Linked DNA regions of Danio rerio. The protein of the gene in region 1 purifies or fractionates together with the protein of each later gene. This does not show direct contact. Links are inferred from orthologs where the notes say so. Each region holds a gene or a part of one and is shown on either strand. Other genes may lie near its edges.

Region 1 (11,383 bases):
GTGCTATGGTGAAGTTATTATTGATCTTTAATAATAAAATCAAAACATGAATTTCTATTATTCTGACTGTTAGCTGATTAATAGTTGAACACAAAGACCAAGAGTACAACTTTGAGGTCAAGTTGTTTTAATTGTATCACATTTTGGCTGTCTCCTTAACAATATCATTCCAGAAAGACAGGAACCAGCCAACAGTATCTGAGGTGTTCGCTAAAATGACCAAGTACTTGTGTGAAAGTAAAAGATGGAAGCAGTCTACTGAACCGCTGACTGCCTTGACCCGCTGTCTCGAGCGCATGACAATGTGTCTGTGTGTGAATGAGTGTGTGTGTGTGGTCACGTGATGTGCGTTTTCAGCGGTAGTGAGGAAGGAGGGCTGCTCAGAAATGCTACACGCCAGTGTGGATGTGGATTGTTGTCGTTCTAAAATGCCATTTAAAAACAAAGACATGTTAGTGTAAACAGGGCCTGAGTTTCGTGTTTTCGTGTATGGATCGCAATGCGCCCATCGTCTATTATCCCAACCGTAATACGTACATGGCAGAGCTTGCAAACTGTTTTTTTTTTTTTTTTGTTGACAACACGAACGTTGTCAACATAACTAACTGAAAATCCAAAATACTTCCACACCGGTGACTTCATTGAAAGAGGAGAGGGTTTAAGCTCTGTCGACGGGTCTCCTGCTTCTGCAGTTTAACAAGCACTTCAACAAGCCTGTTTTTTCCCGCTTGGCAAGCCAAGCTGACGTTACATGGGGGCGTTGCAGCATCGACGATTCTATTTTTTGATTCGATAATTGAAGTTGACGATAAATTTCGATCGATTTTGATTAAAAATTGAAATCATGACACCCTTAATATATATATATATATATATATATATATATATATATATATATATATATATATATATATATATATATATATATATATATATATATAAATACATACTACAGATTGTAATATATTACTTTTTCCCCAACACTGCATATAGAGTAGGTCACCATAATAACATCTGCCTATATTGGTACCCATATTGATATTGGCCAATAAATGGCCACAACATTTAAGTGGCCGATACATGCGTTTTTTTAATGTTATCGTTTGTATTACAATGATTTTGGCATCACAACGTCAACGTGGTGTCTCTCTGCCGTCTGAACACTGTAACAGGTAAAAATGATCTTCAAAAAATAGGTCTTCAAAGCTAATGATGTTCTGCTGGTATATGTTTTGAATATTTCAATAAAATTATACAAGTATTTAAGTGTAAATTTGAGCATATACTATACAGTGAGGTTTTTACTTAAATAATAATTGTAAGAGTTTTGAAATCGAAGCTAAAAACCTGATTAGGCCCATTTTCCATGTCTATCCATCTAAAATAAAAAATGTTTTTAAATAACTTAAAATGTGTCAAAACTACACAAATCTTGAGATTTTATTTTTTGACCACTTAATTTAAGTTCAATCTACTTCAGATTTGTTGCTTTCACTTAATCGGTTAGTGTGGAGCTCTGCATTTTTTACAGCGTAGACATTTTAACACAATCCAGATGCGATGTTTTCACTCAACCTGAGGTTGTCAAATGGACAAACCACTCTGAACACTACACAATGTTGACACCAGTATGGTATTTATTCTCGAGACAGAATATAAAAAGGAGAGCAGAATGAAAGATGCATCTGGAGCGAAACAAAAAGAGGCTAACGTTGGCGTGCAGAGAAGGCGTCTCAGTCTTTCCTGAGCGGCACGATCTCTTCTTTAATGCCCTCTTTGGAGACGATGCAGACTTTGAGGGCGTCTCCGGTGTACACGTCTCTCTCGGCAGCAGAAATAAACACGTCCTTCACCAGCTGCACTGCCTTCTCCTGGGTCAGAGGAACATGCTCCACGTTCTCCATGTTCTTGAAGCCGATCTGAGCACAACAAACAACTTAGTTAATGGTTGGTTTCTATTAAAGTCCTCGTGAACTGGAATCTGTAACCATTTCTTTTGTGAGAGAAACGGCATAATAAATGAGAAGACAGTGGGCGTGGCTTGTTTTTTGTACTGTGAGCTGATTGGATGTAGTAAAGTAGGTGTTTCATTCAGGAAGATGGGGAAAAGGGTCTGGGGAGAGTTATTACAACTTAACAGACTCCTCCTGCTCACTGTTTCTGTTGGTTGACTGACAGCTGGATGGGCGTGGTTAAGGGTGTTAGCCCCGCCCACCACATTAGACAGACCTAATCTGAGAATTTACCCAAAAACAATCAGGAAGTGCATTTACAGATTTCAATTAAAGACTATAAGGGCAATCTATTGTTTTTTTCCTAATATGGTTAGTTTTGACTTCATGTGTACTTAAGTTTGGTAGTGATGGGAGAAACTGCTGGTCTGAATGGGGTTTAAGATGGACTATTTAATATTATGATGATAATCTGAACTCTGACCTGGTTGTCGAGGAGCGGCTGCAGCATTGCGCTCGCTGATCCACCTGCTTTATACGTGTCCCTCTGGTAGGAACCAACTGGATCAAAACTATAAACAGCACCTCGACCTGGAATAAAGCAAAACACATGATTATTTAATCACACCGTTCTGTGTTCAAGAAAAATGTGTACATGCATTAGTGAAACGAAACTGATCAACCATTTGGAGAGACTTAAGATCATAAAAGTGTCAAGTGTCTGCACTGACAACGTATTCATTAATATGGGATGGCCGAAATTTGAAAATGCAACATGCAGTTTCCTAGCATTACCACAGTAATCTTGTTTATTGGTTCTTCTGTGGTAATGAAGAGGGGTTTTTAAAGGTGCTGTGAGTTTGTGACTCTTATAAAGTATACAAATACCACAATATTAATCTACCTGAAAATATTAATACGATTATCATTATTAAGGTTGCAGTAATTGTTGTTGTTGTTGTTGTAGTAGTAGTAGTTGTAGCAGTAGTCATCGTAGTAGTATTGATTGTAATTGTATTTTGAAGTAGTAGTTCCTGTAGTAGTTGATGTCGTTGGTATAGTGGTAGCAGAAGTAGTAAAGGTGTCGTTGTAGCAGTAGTAGTAGTAGTAGTCGTTGTTGGTGTAGTAGTTGTAGTAGTCATTGTAGTAGTATCGATCGTAATTGTGATTATTGAAGTATTAGTTCCTGTAGTAGTTGATGTCGTTGGTATAGTGGTAGCAGAAGTAGTAAAAGTGTCGTTGTAGCAGTAGTAATCGTTGTTGGTGTAGTAGTACCAGTAGTAGATGTCGTTGATGTAGATGTTGTAGTAGCAGTGATTGCGGTAGTAGTAGACGTTGTATTAGTTGTAGCAGACGCTGTAGTATCAGTAGTGGTAGTCATTGTTGTGGTAGTATCAGCAGTAGTAGACATTATAGTAGTAATAGTTGTGGTTGTGATTGTAGTAGCAGCAATAGTAGTTAATAATTATATAGTAATATAAGTAACTTTCTGCAGTAGTAGTAGTTAGGGTAGTACTTGTGATTTATTATCATTTATTATTACTGTTGTCATTTCTTTCTTTTTACTGTCATTATTTCTATTATACATTACTAAGCATAGTTGTTACTCCCTAACTCTGACTGGTTTCTTTTGTATCTGTTTTACTTATATCTGCGAGACTAGATTCATTTATTGGCTAACATTGTTCCTAATGTATGTAATCTGACCTTCCACCAAGTTACCTTTACATGGACACACACACACACACACACCTAACAGTACCTGACTATATTGTTTTTTTTTTTTTTTTATTGTTTTTTTTATTGTTGTTTTGTTATGGTTTTTTGTTGATGTTTTTTGTATTTGTATGATCCCAATTTATGTACCTTTTTGCATATTCTAATAAAAAAATAAATAAATAAATCTACCTGAAAATGCAGGGGGCTATTCCATCAACCAAGCTTACAGAAAAAGCCAGGCTTTTTTTGGTAAGTCAGGTTTATTAATGGCGGATTCGGTTTCATAAATCAAATTTACGATAGTTCAAACTTAGTTACCCTGGCAACTTAGGCTGGGAAACTAGCCTGGTCCGGGGCAGGCTAACTCCAAGGCTAAGCCTTAAGTTTAAGCTTAATCAAAGTAATGTTAACATTCACCTGACATAATTTGATGCCATTTAAATTCACTTAACCTCTTAATAATGATTAAAACTTTAGTCACTTAATAGCAAAAAAAAAAAATTATATATATATATATATATATATATATATATATATATATATATATATATATATATATATATATATATATATATATATATATATATATATATTCCAAACTTTGCATTGGTACTGAATAATCTAATGTATATGCACAAATATATTTAACGCAATGCATTAAAACGTTTAATTGCAAGCAACAATTGGCAGTAAGCGCAAATTCTCTCTCATGCACATGCGCGGTCAAGCACAATTACTATGTTTTATAACAAATATTTAATTTCATGTTAATAGGCATAAATAATAGCATATATTTAAAAATATAGAGCTACTGTAGCTTATTAAACAATCTGCAGTTTCGTGACTCACTCGCTGTGAACAGCTGTGTCTCATTTCAGAGCTCTTTCAGTTCTCTAAGTTGCCATGGTAGCACACAACGTAATCGATGCATCTATGCTCGACTTTTAAGGTTTCACAACAGAAATGTGCACGAGCAGTTATCTAGATCATTTAAACTGAACTCAGACTAGTTAAATCAAACGATCTTCAACTTGCCGTTATGGAATCAATTTAAGCGTGGACGTTTAGTTCAGCTCATTGAAGTCAGGCTTTTCTTAACCACTTTTATGAAATAGCCCCCTGGTTACTTGTCAAAATGTCTTTGTTTTGGTCTCTATAACCAGCTCATTGCCAGTTTAGCCAAGTATATTTCAGTCAGCCAGACTGCCTTTAATGCGCTCCTGACCTTTAGATGGCTGAATTAAGCCTGAAGACCTGAGCGAACTCACCCTCCTCATCCAGACCGCCGATGATGTTGTAGACGTAGTAAGGGAAGAAGCGCCTGCCGTACAGAATGGTGGACAGCATGGCTGCGATGGCTCCACTCGTCATGCTCTTGTTATTCGAGTGCTTGTACATCTGTAAGGGCAGCCCAGAAAGTCAAACACACCGCTCAGGAAATGTGGATATTTCTGTGGGGATCATGAGCTGGCTGGAAGTCCATTTACATGTGTGACTACACAAATACTACGGAAGTCAATGACATTTTCAAGTTTCTTTTAGCTAATGTTTTGCACAATAACAATAAATGTTGTAAAAATATTCACACCTGACATGGGGCAAATGCAATGCACTGGAAGGTATTGAGGTTGGAATAGCAGGTCTTAACATGAAAACAAGTTAAACAAGTTGTAAACAAGTTGTAGCAGGTAATGTTTTAAGTGATGAACCTTGTTAGTGAAATTATTAAAATGATGACAGCAAACATGACGAGTCCTAAAAAGTGCCAAGATGACATTGATAAAGCGATTTAAACAATTAGGACAGGGGTGTCCAAACTCAATCCTGGAGGGCCGCTGTCCTGCTGAGTTTAGTTCCAACTTGCTTCAACACACCTGCCTGGAAGTGTCTAGTACAGGGGTGTCCAAAGTCAATCCTGGAGGGCCGGTGTCCTGCATATTTTAGTTCCAACCCCAATTAAACACACCTGAAGCAGCTGATCAAGCCATTTCTAGGTATACTAGAAACTTCTAGGCAGGTGTGTTGAAGGAAGTTGGAGCTAAACTATGCAGGACACCTACGAGTTTGGACACCCCTGTTCTATTATACCTAGTATGAGCTTGACTAGCTTGTTCAGGTGTGTTTGATTATGGTTGGGGCTAAACTCTCCAGGACACCGGCCCTCCAGGACTGAGTTTGGACACCCCTTAATTAGGAGATTTGTTCAGTTTTGTATGTGAGGCAACGTTTTTTTTTCCACCCTTTTAAATGTGCAGAGAAAACTTATTGTCATATTTCCTAAATAATAATAATAATAATAATAATAACAACAAAGCATGTAAAAAAAAAATCAAGCTAAGAATAACTAATGATAATAAAGATACTTCCTTTATTTGTATTATCTGTTTTTTAATTGGTTGTAAAATTTGCTTTGTTATTTGACAAATTATATTGTTATTTTACAGATAAATTATCCACAGCAATATTATAGAAAAATAATAAAAGGTTGTTCATTTCTAAAACTCAACTCATTTTGTTGAGTGAAGCATTATATCTGTACATTTCAGTGTCATACTGTTAGCACACTGAAAATGTTCCCTCATGAAAAAACGACAACAGCATTTCCATTTTCCCTTCTAGGCTGTGAGACGCACCTTCAGTCGGGCCTCAATGATTTTGGTGAGCGTCAGGCAGTCTCCATGAAAACCACTGCAGCCCAGAACTGTAGTGTCTGTCCTGAGAGAGAGTAAAAACAGAGAAATGAAAGTAAAAAGTGCTGTACAGCACACACACGCTGACAATATAAACTGTGGGTGTGCATTTATTTGCTCACTGTCATGGGTTTTAACATTCTTGCAGCTGAGAACAATGACACAGACACGGTTTAATGCTAAATAATTCATAATTAACTCTGAAGTGCAATTTCTCAGTTTCTGGATTACTATTGACAACAGGGATTTTAAAGTACACTAGTGCACTCTCATTTACTAGAACTGGAAAAAAACTGGAAATATTTTTCAACTGATACAAAGATTTAATCCACTTCAAAGTCTTCAACTTCACTCAAAATGTTCACACATGTAGCAAAGTTATTAGCCTTCCTGTAAAGTTTTTACTTTAAAGGTTTCCCAAGTAGTTTAATGAGCAAGGACATTTTCACAGCATTTCCCAATTATTAGTCCCCCTCTGATTTTTCTTCTTTTACAAATATTTCCCCACATGATGTTGAACAGATTCAGGAATTGTTCACAGTATTTCCTATAATATTTGTTCTTTTGGAGAAAGTCTGATTTGTTTAATTTCAGCTAAAATAAAAGCAGTTGTCATTTTTTTAAAAACCATTTTACGGTCAGAACTATTAGCCCCATTAAGCTATATTATTTTCAATAGTGTACAGAACAAACCATCGTTATACAATGACTTGCCTAATTACCCTAACTTTACCCTAATTACCCTAGTGAAGCCTTTAAATGTCACTTTAAGCTGAATACTAGTGTCTTGAAGAATATCTAGTCTAATATTATTTACTGTCATCATGGCAAAGAGAAAATAAATCAGTTATAAGAGATTATGAGTTATTAAAACTATTACGATTAGAAATGTGTTGAAGAAATCTGCTTTGCAAATGTTCTGATACATACAGGGTTCAACGCTATGGATTTTTTTTTTACTGGTCTGATCGGGCCAGTGGTTTAGATTTTTACTGGCCCTGCCAAAATTTGTACTGGCCCCACCAAAAAAATAAATAAATAAATAAAATTTTTAAAGCTATTTTTCAGCCGCATATTTTAAATATGTGTCAAAAATAAAGTCTGTGAATCTAGAATTTCAATACTTAAAAAAACATTAATAAAAGTGTTGTGCAAACAAAAAGAGCAGTATGGAAAATGTGCAGGTATTTTTATTGCGGTTCGAAATTATTTAACAAAAGGTGGGCTGACTGTGGGCAATCAGTGCAAAACATCACTTCATTTTTTTTTTTTCGCGTTGTTCACACGTAAATTCCTGTATCTAAGACATTAGAAACAGGCATTTTCTTTTAGCCTTATAATTTGATGTTGCCGCCATGTTGCCGTTTCTTCTCTGTACTGGTTGTTCCCAGGTTGCGGGGAAAAAAAGCATGCTCAAAACATCAAATCAGATAAGCGGAACCGGAAAGCAATATGGTGTTTACGACTTCATTGAGAAGGGAGTGTTTAAAGACTTAAAAGCACAAACTTAAAACGCACATAATTGAAATAGTCGCAGACAAATGAAATGTTAGTGACAAGGCAGCACTGTCCCAATCGGGCCAGTAATGATCCTGTCTACTGTCCCAAGCATCTCTCACGCTGGCCCTGGGCCACGGGGCAGTCCTTATTGTCGAGCCCTGACATATATGTAAAAGTTCAAGAACACAGTTATTCTGACCTGTTAAAGGTAAAGTAACAAAGGGTCACTCATTAAATATTACAAAATTAATACATTTCATAATATATAACATCACTAAAAACAAAAATATGAGTAAAATAGAATTTTAGTGGGAGTCTTCTGTCATTAAAATCATGGTAAAAATGTATGACAGTCATGATTTTTTACTCTGTAAAAAAAATAAGAATAAACAGGACACACAGAATATGTTTAAATGAATAATTGAGGTAAAGTTAATTTTATATTCACACATTCTGACTTCCTCCTTAATCATATATTTTCAGAAAAGTATTATTTGCAAATTCTAAATATGGGAATCAAATTATCAGCCAATAGACTATCAAAGTACAACATTGTTCACAGTCAATTAAATAGTGATAATGTTGTTTTGAAGTCATACTTACATGTGATTTCAGACCCAATATTCAAAGTAGCATCGCAAACAATATAGGAACTGTTAAAATTAACAAATGTGCTAATATAAAATCAACTTTACCTCAATAAATTAATAATGTATCTTCTTAAACATGCTCTATGTGTCTAGAGTAAAAAAAATCATAATTATATATACATTTTCACCATGACTTACCGAAGCGGCCCACTAACAATCTGGAGGTAAATTAGCATTTTTGCCTTTATATCATACACATATATTAAAATAATAATAACAGTCACTCACAGCTTGTAGCATTTGGGCGAGTCTCTGCTGTGGATGCTGTAACCTTCACTTAAACGTGTGTCTGAGGCCACGATAGCAAAATCTTCACCAGCCACCGCCAGCACTGTCCTGAGAACAGATTCAACACAAATATACAAATGCCTCATTTAAATAAACAGAAGAGAAAATAAACAATTAATAAAGACAGACAAATCGAGGTGAAGTTGGTTTTATATTCACACATTTGTTCACTTTAATGCTTTACAACATTATTAGCACTTTTTAACTGATGTTATGTTAGTCATTGGCTGCCGATATGATTTCCCAACTTAAATAACTTTTCTGAAATTATAATATTAATCAAAAAGCTTGAATTTGTAAACATAAAACCAACGTTACCTCAACACAACTGCTTGACTCTGCTTGTCTCTTATTATTTATTGAGGTAAAGCTGGTTTTATATTAGCACATTCGTACAGTGACAACTTGCTCCTTATTTTGTTTACCACGCTACTTTAAATATTCGGTGTGAAATTGCATGCAAGAATGCCTTCAAAACAACATTAGCAGTCTTTAATTGACAGTGAACAAAGCTGTACTTTGACAGTCACTGGCTGATAATATGATTTCACTACTTAGAATTTGCAAATAATACTTGTCTAAACTGTATCATTAAGTGTGAATGTGTGAATATAAAACCAACTTTACCTCAATGTGTTATTTCAATAGTTAATACACTTATATTATTATAAACAAATCCAAATTTTCTTAAAGTATATTATACTACAATAAACTACAGTTTACTTTAGTAAAACTACAGCATTTATTAGTTTATCTGTTCACTATAGTGTACTGGGGCCTTCATTAATAGATTTAAAAGAGTGATTATTATAATATATACAGTATAATACACTTCACTATAGCATGATTTAAAAGCACTACAGTATTTACTATAAATTACTACAGTATTTTAGTCATGTAGGAGCAAATATAAGAACAATATAAACGTCCCACAATAAAACAACGTTTGGTTTAAAAATTAGCATCAATAATAAACCATATTAGGTCTAAATATTAATGTTTTTACCTCAGATATCATCGGTTTTGACTTACAACACATGAATAGTCAATTTCTGCAGTTGTGATAGTGAAAGTAAAATAAGCACACTGTTAAGCTCAATTTATACTGCTGCTACACCCGTGATTTTACTAAACTTAGCTCTCGGACATTTTATTTTGTGTAAAATGTACAAATTTTAAGTCTCTAAACAGTTTATAAGACGAGTTTATGGCTGAATCGTAGCTGTGAAGTGAATTGTCATGTTCGCTGGATGCTCTGCTGAATGAAAATGGAGGACAATATATCTTCTTACCCTCCGTTGAAGGCATAAGGGGAGAATTTGTGCTCCACTGGTCCTGTATAGTGATATTCTTTCATTTTGCCGTTTTCTCCATAAGCCTGGGCAGAAATCATGATGAGCTCCTCTCCGCAAAACTCGCTGTATCACCGCAATATGGCCGTCGGAAGTTGACAGGTCCTTTGTTTCCCGTGCGCGCCACCGCCACAGCGCCGTCTGCTGCTAATGGCTAGCTTTTCAACATAAACAAGACTTTTTATGCGAGGATTGTGATAATAAAGCAAGACAAGTCGTCACACAATTCAATAATATCTGCGATTAAGTGAAAAAAAGAAAGAAAAGGTGACTGAAGTGAATGTGTCGTGTTATTATTAGCGTCAACAAGCAACATAACTGCAGTAAACAAAGCATGTTTTGTACTACTTCATCATCACATTTGCTGTTTACAAAAAAAAAATGTTTATCACATGTATAGTATTGTTTAGAAGTAGTTCATACTATATTGAGTATCAAAGTTGGCCTAGTATTAGATTTTAATGTAAGTCTACATATGTACAATGTTTATGCTGCTAGTCTTGAGGTGAATGATTAATATGAAATATCCGTGATGATAATAATATTGCGGATATTAATTGCAAATTAGTTGGACCATTAAAAAAAAATGTTTTGTTTTTTTTTGGTAAATCTGCTTATCTGTTTTTTTAATCTAGAAACAAAAAGGTACAAACAACAGCAAATATATATATATATATATATATATATATATATATATATATATATATATATATATATATATATATATATATATATATATATATATATATATATATATATATCCCTGCTGAAAAATCCAGCTTAAACCAGCCTAGGCTGGTTGGCTGGTTTTAGCTGGTTGACCAGCCTGGTTTTAGAGGGGTTTTGGAACCATTTCCAGCCTGGTCTTAGCTGGTCAGGCTGGAAAATGACCAGCCAAATCCAACTAAAACCAGCTTGACCAGCCTGGTTTTAGCTGGATATAGCTGGTTTTGGCTGGACTCCCAGCTTGGCTAGGCTGGTCAAGCTGATTTTAGCTGGTCATCTCCCAGCCTGACCAGCTAAGACCAGGCTGGAAATGGCTGGAAACCAGCCTGGAAGTGAAAGCCAAAACCCCTCTAAAACCAGCCTGGTAAACCAGCCAACCAGCCTAGGCTGGTTTAAGCTGGATTTTTTAGCAGGGTATGTATATATATATATATATATATATATATATATATATATATATATATATATATATATATATACATTCAGCAGCGTACAGTGTCTATTCA
Region 2 (11,611 bases), on another chromosome or scaffold:
TGCTAATTCATGCTAGAATCATGCTAACAACATGCTAATTCATGCTAGAATCATGCTAGTAACATGCTAATTTATGCTAGATGTATGCTAACAACATGCTAATTCATGCTAGAATCATGCTAGTAACATGCTAATTCATGCTAGAATCATGCTAACAACATGCTAATTCATGTAAGAATCATGCTACTAACATGCTAATTCATGCTAGAATTATCCTAGTAGCATGCTAATTCATGCTAGAATCATGCTAGTAACATGCTAATTCATGCTAGAATCACGCTTACAACATGCTAATTCATGCTAGAATCATGCTAGTAACATGCTAATTCATGCTAGAATCATGCTAACAACATGCTAATTCATGTAAGAATCATGCTACTAACATGCTAATTCATGCTAGTAATATGTTAACTCAAGCTAAAATCATACTAACATTCTATTTACACTTTAAAACCACTTCAAACTTTCAGATTCGGCTTTTCAAGCCACCATAAAGTTTGTCCTCAAACTTTAATATCTAGTTTTGATGTTGATATCAGAAAGCGCCTAAACAAACATGCCTATAACTCAACAGAACTCTGCCTCTTTTTGATATTGTCACTACACTACCTGACAAAAGCCTCGTCACCTGTCCAAGTTTTAGGAACAACAAATAATAACTTGACTTTAAGTTGATCGTTTGGTATCAGAAGTGGCAATAATGAAGGGCAAAGGCCTCTAGATTACGCTTATTTGACCAAAATAAAACATGATCATGCCTTGATTTTTAATTATTTAATTAGGACAGTAAGCTCTGCCTTTGCTTAGACAAAAGTCTTGTCACTGAACAGAAATAATGTCCAGTATAGAATATAAAGTCCTGCTGCAGTGGAGACAGAATGAATATTGTGTCTGACTCCATCATGAGCTTGGAGGACTGCATCATACATCTCTGCACCGACTCAAATCACTGATTAATAAAGTCATCTGGAATGGCAAAGAAAGCGTTCCTGCAGGACTCCCAGAGTTCATCAAGATACTTTGCATTCATCTTCAATGCCTCCTCCTTCATCTTACCCCAGAAAGCTCAATAATGTTCATGTCTGGTGACTGGGCTGGCCAATCCTGGAGCTCCTTGACCTTCTTTGCTTTCAGGAGCTTTGATGTGGAGGCTGAAGTATGAGAAGGAGCGCTATCCTGCTGAAGAATTCGCCCTCTCCTGTGGTTTGTAATGTAATGGGCAGCACAAATGTCTTGATACCTCAGGCTGTTGATGTTGACATCCACTCTGCAGATCTCTCGCACGCCCCCATACTGAATGTAACCCCAAACCATGATTTCTCCTTTACCAAACTTGACTGATTTCTGTGAGAATCTTGGGTCCATGCGGGTTCCAGTAGGTCTTGTTTATTATTTGTGATGATTGGTATGTCTTCTGCCACTTTGATGATCAACTAGAAGTCAAGTTATTATTTGTTGCTTTTACAACTGGGATCTACAACCTTACTGCTGATTCAACACTGTGGTCACAAATGTGACCCTGGACCAAAAAACCTGTCTTAAGTTGCACAGGGATATTTTTTGGCAATGATCAAAAATACATTGTACGAGTCAAAATTATAGATATTTATTTTATGGCAAAAATCATTGGAATATGAAGTATGATCGTGTCTCGTGAAGATATTTTGTAAATTTCCTACTGTAAATATATTAAAATTCTATTTTTATTACTAAGGTGAATTGCTAAGAACTTAATTTGGACACTTAGGCCCCATTCGCACTGGGCGTCAGCGTCAGCGCTTCCTATTCACTTTGAGTGGGTGACGTCAGGCATTGCCGAACTGCATTGTGGATCCGTCAGCGCCCCTTCAGAGGTGTTGCTCGCCTCAGAAGTTGGGACTAGCTCAACTTTTCAAGCGCCCACTCTAGCGTCAGCCAATCAGATCGCTGTATGCAAATACACCAGCTAGACAGTGGCCTATTGCTGACTGAATTTCATTGGCTGACGCTTCTATGACGATCGTTTCAGCCCCAACTTCAGACACGCCTTTAATCAAGCGTTGACGCTGAAGCCCCGTGTGAATGGGGCGTAAAGGTGATTTCCTCAGCATTCATTTATTTTCCTTCAGCTTAGTCCCATTATTCATATGGGGTTGCCATAGCAGAATGAACCGCCAACTTATCCAGCCAACTTGAATGTTTTACACAGCAGATGCCCTTCCAGTTGCAACCCAGTACAGGGAAACACCCATACACCCTTACATGCACACACATACACTACAGCCAATTTAGTTTATTCAGTTCACCTGTAGCGCAAGTGTTTGGACTGTGGGGGAAACCGGAGCACCCGGAGGAAACCAATGCCAACATGGGGAGAACATGCAAACTCAGAAATGCCAACTGGCCCAGCCAGGACTCGATCCAGCAACCTTCTTGCTATGAGGCAACAGTGCTAACCACTGAGCCCTTTTCCTCAGTATTTACTTTTTTTTTTTTTATAATTCACAGATTTTCAACTAGTTGTATTTTCCTGTCACAACAAACCTTACACCAATAGAAAACTCTTTTATTTCCCTTTTATTTTCCCTTTATTCTTTTATTTTTATTTCATGCTATGTATGTATAAATATGAGTTTTATAAAATAGACACTGATGGCTGGTGATTTTGTGGTTTAGGATCACATATTTCTCAGTGCGCCTTAAACCACAGTTTTTTTTTTTTTTCAAAATACTTGTGGGTAAAGTGAACGGGGGAACAACACTGAAAAAGTGAGCGGGGCGGTATAGAATGATGCATTGAGTTGCACTTCTGTTCTACTGACCTGTGTGAGCGTGAGCACTTTGACCGAGTCATCAGGATGGTTGAGTCCGCTCTGGAGCGCTTTCCTGTAGTTCTGTGCAAGCTGAACCGGTTCTAAAGCCTGCAGGACTCGACTTAGGATCTCCACACACACCTCAATCTGCTCTCTGCACCCAACAACAAACAAAAAACAGACAGAAAGCAGTGTTCAATCACGGAAAATAATTCTCCATGTAAAACATTTTTTAAGATCACATTGTCAAGTGCCAAATAAGAGGGTTTATCATTTTGATATGCACGTTTCATTTAAACAAATGAAACTTGTGTAAGTTGTGTAGGATTTCAAAATGACTTGGATTATTGTTTTCGCTTCATTAAAATATCTGAATCACAAATATACTAATTACACGATTTACTGTTAAAGTTCATTTGCGTTATGTTTGCTTTCATGAGCAACACGGTGGCACAGTGGTTAGCAATGTGGCCTCACAGCAAGAAGGTCCCCGGTTCGAGTCCTAGCTGAGTCAGTTGGCATTTCTTTGTGGAGTTTGCATGTTCTCCCCCCGTGTTTGCGTGGGTTTCCTCTGGGTGCTCCGGTTTCCCCCACAGTCCAAACACATGCGCTATAGGTGAACTGGATGAACTGAATTGTCCCTAGTGTGTGTGTGTGTGTGTGTGTGAATGAGTGTGTATGGGTGTTTCCTGGTACTGGGTTGCAGCATGAAGGGCATCCACTGTGTAAAACACATGCTGGAGAAGTTGGTGGTTCATTGCGCTGTGGTGACCCTTGATGAATAAAGGGACTAAGCTGAAGGAAAATGAATGAATGAATATGCTTTCTTACACAGCTCTGTAAAAAAATAAGAGAGCGGCAATTTTTATATGGACTTATTGTCATATTCTATGAGTATTTATATAAACGGTTAAAATTATTATATTATATGTGTTTTAAAATGTTAAAGACGCAGTATCTGTATTTTTAAAAATAAAACTCTTTGTCAAAATGAATACCCATTAACCTCTTAATGCCCAGGGTGTTTTTTACATGTATTTTTTATTTCTCTTTGCTACTGTATGTGGGCTTATTGGAACCTAATTAGAATAAAAACCTAAGTATCATCTTTTGATATGATGTACTTTTAGAGAAAAATAATGTTCATATATGTGGACTCGTGGTCCGAATTTACATAAAACACTTTTTCCTGACTGTTTTTAAATGCATATTTAACATACAAAACTTATTTGAACATGTTTTGACTATCAGAGACTAAAAACAATATATTTCCCCCCATTTTGGACAGTTAAAAATAGGGTTTGGGACATTTCATATTCTGCAAAAGAGTTGCAGGATGAGACTGTACGTCTGTAACAAAATATAAAACATTCAAAGTATTTTAAATAGCCACTTAAGAGCTATAATGCGCTGTCCACGCAGCCCTAGGAGGTTAAAGCAATAGTTAACACACACACACAAAAAAAATCACGAATTAGTCTCCCTAAAGTGTTTATGAATCTTCATGATTTATTATTTACTCTCCCGTCATTTTTCCCCTAATCGTTTACGAGTTGCCTTCTTCTGTTAAACACTGAAGATCAGTAACCATTGACTTCCATATTAGCAAATACAAATACTATAGAAGTCAATGGTTACAGGTTTTCAGTTGTGTTCAACACGAGAAATAATATGGAACAAAATCAATGCCAATAGTATTGAAATGAAAAGCTTATGGAATAGCACAAGCTGAAAAAAATAATACATGGAATTAGCAACTGCTTGCATTTTAATGACTTGGATTGCCAGGGTTTGTATTTTTAGGGCTTGCAATTGAACACAGCTGTTTATTTAAGCTGTAAATATCTCAACTAAAAATATTTCAAACATGTTTTCATACTTCAAAAAAAACTAATTCATATTCAATATGCAGGTTTCACTCACAAAATATTAAATACCAGTGAAAAATACGAAGCGAAATGTTCAAAAGGTAACTTCCAGTTTATTTTATTTCAGTTCAAAAATTTGCTTCCAAAAATTCGGTGGATGAAATTCGGCTCTTAAAATTCGACATTACTTCCGGGAACTGCAGGGAAAAGCAAAAGATTGCAGATTGACAATCTTCAGCTGCTTTTTCACTAGCAGGTGGACCAATTTAATATTTTTAAACCAGTAAATAATTGAGGAAAAAAGCTAATAACAGCACAAAAGTTGCATTTAATGTCAAATTTTAACAGCCGAATTTGATCCACTGAATTTATGGAAGCGAATTTTTGAACTGAAATAAAGTGAATTGAAAATTGTCTTTTGAATAATTTACATGAAATCTGGAAATTGAATATGAATTATTCAATTTTAAGTATGAAAATGTGTTTGACATATTTTGAGCTTAAATAAACAGCTGTGTTAAATTTCAGGACGTAAAATTACAAACCCTGGCAATCCAAGTCATTAAAATGCAAGCAGTTGTTAATTCAACGTATTATTTTTTTTTCAGCTTGTGCTATTCGATAAGCTTTTTATTTCAATACCTATGGCATATATTTGTTCCATAAACGAACCTCATAAATATTTTTTTTAAATGAAGGGAGAGAAAATAATGACAGAATTTTTATTGAATTTTTAAAGTTTTTTGAAGAGTTATTTATTGAGGTGAAGTTGGTTTTATATTACCACATTTGTTTATTTTTGAACAGTGACAACTTGACAAAATTAGAAGTATTTAATAGACTGTGAACGATGTTGTACTTTGAAAGTCATGGGCTGCAAACATGATTTCACTATTTAGAATTTGCAAACAATACTTTTCTGAGATTGTATTATTAAGGAGAAACTCTGAATGTGTAAATATAAAAGCAGGGACATTCTACCAGAAATGTACAATGTACACTTATAAAAAATGTTACAGGGCCTGACCTTTAAGCTTGTCGTCCTCGAAAAATCATACAAAGTCATAGCCTTAAAGGTGAATTGCACGCATTTAATGTTAAATTTAATGCAAATGTGACAGGACTGACAGAAACATGAGGACAATTGATTGTAAATGTATTTGTTGTATTTATTTGTAGAAATTATTAATCATTTCATGTTCATAATCAACTGATGTGAATGATAAAAACTTAAACTTGCTATTTCTGAAGTATTTTCCCCCCCAAATAACAGTTTTTAGCATAACAAAACTATTAAAGCTGAGGACAATGACAGGGTTTGTACATTTGTAAAGTGTTTTAATAAAGAACACAAATCTGAGAACCAAATGAATGACATATTCCTTTACAGAACAACTTACAGAAATCAACCATCAGGCTATTTGATAAGAGATGGGAAACTTTTTATTCACTGTATTGATTATTTTATGTCAGGGACAGATAACGTACGTTCCTGGTAAGAAGTCCCACCAACTTTACATCAATGAGTTATTTGAAAAGGTTTAATAAATCATTCTCGACTTCAATACACAATGAAATGACCTGCTGAATGCAAAAAGTACGCATTGTGTAAAGACTAATAATGAATAAATTCAATAATACTGCTCGCTCATTACAGTAGGCTATCAGTGTGCAGTGTGTGGTGTGTATTGCGCCTGTTGACTCAGCAGGATCAACACTCACTTGTCATTAGTGTTTAAAAGGCTGAATATGATCTCCAGTCGGGCTCCAGACACTGCTGGCCTCAAACCGCTCACGGGAGTCGCTAAAACGGCTGTCCGGAGGCTCTTGAGCTCCTCGATCGGATCTTCTGATTCACAGATCTCATTCAACAGACTCTCTATAGGCGCCGCCATCATGGCTCAATGTTTGCGTCACGTGACCGAGGGGCGGGAAACACGCTGAGCTCATTTGCATTTTGTCAGTAAAATCAGAAGCTGTTGTACTGTGTATTTTGAAATTTATATTGTATCATATTACATTTGTAGTATGTATACATTTAGTTTTATATTTATATGAATGAAATACAATAATTGTTTTTATTTTTAATATGTATGTATAAATATACGCATATTAAGTTTAATCAAATGTAATTTGTAACTGTAATTTAATTATATATTTATAAAATAACATTTATAAATCATTATGTATAATCATTTATTGTTCATAAATAATTTATTTTGTTACACACCAAATGCTGTCGATCTCGGTTGTTGCTAGATCAGATACAGTTGGAGCTGGAAGTTAACGATAATTTTTTATATTATTTATTAAATTTCCCATAAATTGTATTTTAGTAACGTCTACCCCTACCCCAACCATAACCCCGACCGTCACAGTACTGTAAAAATGTTAATTATTGTTATACAGTGTCACAAAAATTATGCTATATTGATGCGCGTATCCGCAGCGGTAACCTGTTCAGGATTTACCATCGATCTTTGGTGTAACTACGGTAATTGGTAGTTTAGGCGGAAACTACGGAAACTAGGAAGTCCAAAAATACAGCCATGACCCTATGTAAATACGTTGATGTAACTCGACGTCGTGTAAATTCCAATACCTGTGTATGAAATTTTTATACAGTTTAATTTTGGGATGTTTATTAAATTATTCAAGAGTTCTGACAAGTTCGTCCCATGTTTGAGGAGTCACCAGTCTATGGGAGTCGCACGCCAATTTCTAGATGGGCATTCAGGTAACGAACAACAACCCGGTGTAACGTTATTTTATTATGTTATATGGTAACTTTAAATGTGTTGTATATGCTCGTACATTGCGTAGTTTTAGGAAATGTGCTTTATTTGCGTATCCATGAAAGCCTTGTTTTTTTAAATAAACAAAATCACCAGGACTAGTTGTGAGGGGAGATTCTGTAGCTTACTTTCCTTTAGCGGCCACTAGATGCCGCCATTTAGACTAGTTTTTTCTCAATCATCTTTATTATACGTCGACTATTATTTGTTACTATTAAAGTATTAATTAACAACCCGGAGTTCTAAATGTTCCATACAGCGTTGGTGTCATGTGAAAATACCATGAGACCTTCATATAGCATGGTAACATACTTGTTGATTTCCATATTCATTACAGTATCAGAATCAAAACCTCCTTTATTTGCAAAGTGTGTCCAAACACATATGGAATTCAGTATATATGGAGGACGAAACCTGCAAAAATAAAAAATAAGTACGCAAATATATAAATAAATACACAAATTCCTGCATAAAACAATAAATAAATAAATACACAAATAAATAATTATATAAATACACAAATTCCTGCATAAAACAATAAATAAATAAATACACAAATAAATAATTATATAAATACACAAATTCCTGCATAAAACAATAAATAAATACACAAATAAATAAATACACAAATTCCTACATAAATAAAATAATAAATAAATAAATACACAAATAAATAAATGCATAAATTCTTGCATAAAACAATAAATAAATAAACACGCAAATAAATACACAAATTCCTGCATAAATAAAACAATAAATAAATTGATATGCAAATAAATAAATACATAAATACCTGCATAAATAAAACAATAAATAAATAAATACGCAAATAAATACACAAAGTCCTGCATAAAACAATAAATAAATAGGCAAATAATAAACAAATTCCTGCATAAATAAAACAATAAATACATAAATAGGCTAATAAATAAATACAAAAATTCCTGCATAAAACAATAAATAACTAAACACGCAAATAAATACACAAATTCCTGCATAAAACAATAAATAAATAAATACACAGATAAATGAATAAATAAATACACAAATTCCTGCATAAAACAATAAATAAATAAATACAAAAATAAATAAATACACAAATTCCTGCATAAAACAATAAATAAAAAAATAAATAAATAAATAAATAAATACACAAATGCCTGCATAAAACAATAAATAAATAAATACAAAAATAAATAAATACACAAATTCCTGCATAAAACAATAAATAAATAAATACACAGATAAATGAATAAATAAATACACAAATTCCTGCATAAAACAATAAATAAATAAATACAAAAATAAATAAATACACAAATTCCTGCATAAAACAATAAATAAAAAAAAAAATAAATAAATAAATAAATACACAAATGCCTGCATAAAACAATAAATAAATAAATACAAAAATAAATAAATACACAAATTCCTGCATAAAACAATAAATAAATAAATACACAGATAAATGAATAAATAAATACACAAATTCCTGCATAAAACAATAAATAAATAAATACAAAAATAAATAAATACACAAATTCCTGCATAAAACAATAAAATAAATAAATAAATAAATAAATACACAAATTCCTGCATAAAACAATAAATAAATAAATACAAAAATAAATAAATACACAAATTCCTGCATAAAACAATAAATAAATAAATACACAAATAAATAAATACACAAATTCCTGCATAAAACAATAAATAAATAAATACACAAATAAATGAATAAATAAATACACAAATTCCTGCATAAAACAATAAATAAATAAATACACAAATAAATGAATAAATAAATACACAAATTCCTGCATAAAACAATAAATAAATAAATACAAAAATAAATAAATACACAAATTCCTGCATAAAACAATAAATAAATAAACAGTTTATTTGACAGTGCAACAGTTCTCTCGCTAAAAAGATTAAAATGGTAAAATAAATCAAATCAAACCAAATCATTTGTGCGACTGCATATAATGGTTGTAGTGCGACCTATTTTGATTTTTTTCTAAAAACGTGCTGAATCGGTCTTCCCTGCTGCTATTTTGGTTCATATTAGCTCTCAATCACTCAAGGCTTTCTGCTGTCAGATGACAGGGACTTTTTGTGACCGCGGGTAATGGAAACGGCTGAAAAGTGAAAAGTACACAGGTTTGCAAACCCCACCTAAAGTTACACATGATGGCGGAGATGACGGTGATCATGTGGTGCATGTTGACCCGCGAGCTGAGATCAATCGAGTGTTTTCGGAGAAGGTGCCCGAATCTCGATGCATTGCATTCACTGCGTGTTCAGTGCAAATGTCCGTTAAATGTTAATACTAACACTGTACACACCATCGCCAACGAAAAAAAGAGCGGTTTTGAAAATGCCCTTATTCGTGTAGACCTAAATATCTCTGATACATATATGCGCATAAGCTTGGTTGCTAGGCTTTTTTGACTGGTTGCTAGGTAATTCCTCACTCGCCCAAGTCAAAAGATCCAACACTCGGGTACTGTAGCAGTCTTGAGGTTTGGCATGTCCATACAAGCTGTTTTTGTTCATCCGCATGTGACCCCCTGACTGTGGCTTTAATTACGGGCGGGAGACTCCTGTTTACACACGCAGATCAAACCATCTCAAGTGTGTTTGTGGAGGAGCCTGAAGTCAATGGGCTCACTGATGAACATCACCCTCAGCCTTCACAAAGAGTCTATGTCCACCATCAAAGCCCATTCACCTCAGCTTTCTGTTCTCAAACACTCTAGTCCTAATCCTCATGGCTCTTTCAGCGCTCGTGCATGTGCTATCATTTCTGCTACTTCAGTTTTACAGTGAGTTAGGGCAATTATTTCATGATCAGAACCAATGTCTTCCTTTTTTCCTTAGAGATAGAGGAGAGAAACACACACACAGACACATACAGGACTCTGCCCAGTAGACCTTCACTTCTGAGTGTGTGTTTGTGTGTTTCAGGTCATCAATAGCCTCCCTGTTAAAGGTAAAATGAGATCCTACACACACACGCACACGCACACACACACACACAGACGCACACTAGTTTAACCTCAACCCAAGAGCAAAAATAAAACTTCCAAGACACACCTTCTTTTCTGAAAGACATTACAGTCCCAACACACACACACACACACACACACACACATATATTATGGTAATAGAACTAAAATGGCTGGCGTTGTACACGTCTCATTTCTTTCGGATTACAGCTGCAGTGTGATTTCAGTGCACGGTCACACTATCATTACCGTAATGACACGATTAAAGCATTTATAGATTTCTTTTTAACAATATCCAGACTGGTTTTGATCTATATTATTTCTTTAAACACATACAAACTTCAAACAAACTAATACAGTATTATTTTAGAGCACTATATATGTATTACTCAGCAGTTTCCTTTTTTCATTGCTCATGAGACTTGACTGGTCTGCAATTATAATTCTTTAATTTATCAGCTTTGTTTCAGAAGTTCTCAAGTTATTAGAGGATTCTTGGTCGTATAAATGCAGCATATGAGTACAATTCGCTTGTTAAAATACTATTTCAGGGTCTCATTAGAGTTGAGAAAATATTTGTTTATGACCACTTTTTAGTCATATGAATTTTATAAAAAAATCATGCTGTAAACAGCAGTCTCTGGACTTGCTATATTACAGACACCAATATTTGAACAACTTCTAAAAAAATTAATCACTGTCTGGCCATCTGATTATTAGGCATGGATGTATAGACCTTTTTCTTGGAACGCAAAATTACCCATTATGCTTTGCGTGTATGCGCAAGGAGAATGCGAAGAACTTCCAGTCGGCAGCTGATGCGTGTAAACAGTCACATTTGGACAGCTTTGAAACGATAGTTTTATCTATTTTACTTGCTTTTATCCCCTTTGAACTAATAGTGTTGTCCATCAGCAGCATCTCCTGGACTGATCATTTAAAGAAATGCGATCTAATAGGATGGAAAACAGCTGCTGTGAGGCATTTTCCCCTCGTTGTCAGACGGCATCTTCTGCAGTTTAAATGAAGCCTCGGCATCGCTAAAGTCAACATTTTCTCTTCATTTCAAATATATAACCAGCCCAAACTAATGTAATTCACCAAAATGTTTGACACACACACGTAGCCTGTACTGTGCCACTGAC

The links. Proteins that work in one complex are often made in the same cells at the same time.
Region 2: the proteins of psmb1 (region 1) and psmd5 fractionate together in Homo sapiens (co-fractionation; 3 studies listed by BioGRID). This does not show direct contact. The link is inferred for Danio rerio from reciprocal best matches to the Homo sapiens genes PSMB1 and PSMD5.

What each region holds. Positions count from the first base shown.
Region 1 is NC_133188.1:1,047,237-1,058,619, forward strand, and holds psmb1 (proteasome subunit beta type-1), read right to left. Parts: upstream 10,237-11,383; 5' UTR 10,193-10,236; coding exon 10,092-10,192; intron 8,848-10,091; coding exon 8,740-8,847; intron 6,387-8,739; coding exon 6,305-6,386; intron 5,070-6,304; coding exon 4,940-5,069; intron 2,544-4,939; coding exon 2,437-2,543; intron 1,920-2,436; coding exon 1,734-1,919; 3' UTR 1,616-1,733; downstream 1-1,615. UniProt on the Homo sapiens protein: Non-catalytic component of the 20S core proteasome complex involved in the proteolytic degradation of most intracellular proteins. This complex plays numerous essential roles within the cell by associating with different regulatory particles.
Region 2 is NC_133196.1:6,259,821-6,271,431, forward strand, and holds the start of psmd5 (26S proteasome non-ATPase regulatory subunit 5), read right to left. Parts: upstream 6,594-11,611; 5' UTR 6,559-6,593; coding exon 6,383-6,558; intron 2,947-6,382; coding exon 2,802-2,946; intron 1-2,801. UniProt on the Homo sapiens protein: Acts as a chaperone during the assembly of the 26S proteasome, specifically of the base subcomplex of the PA700/19S regulatory complex (RC).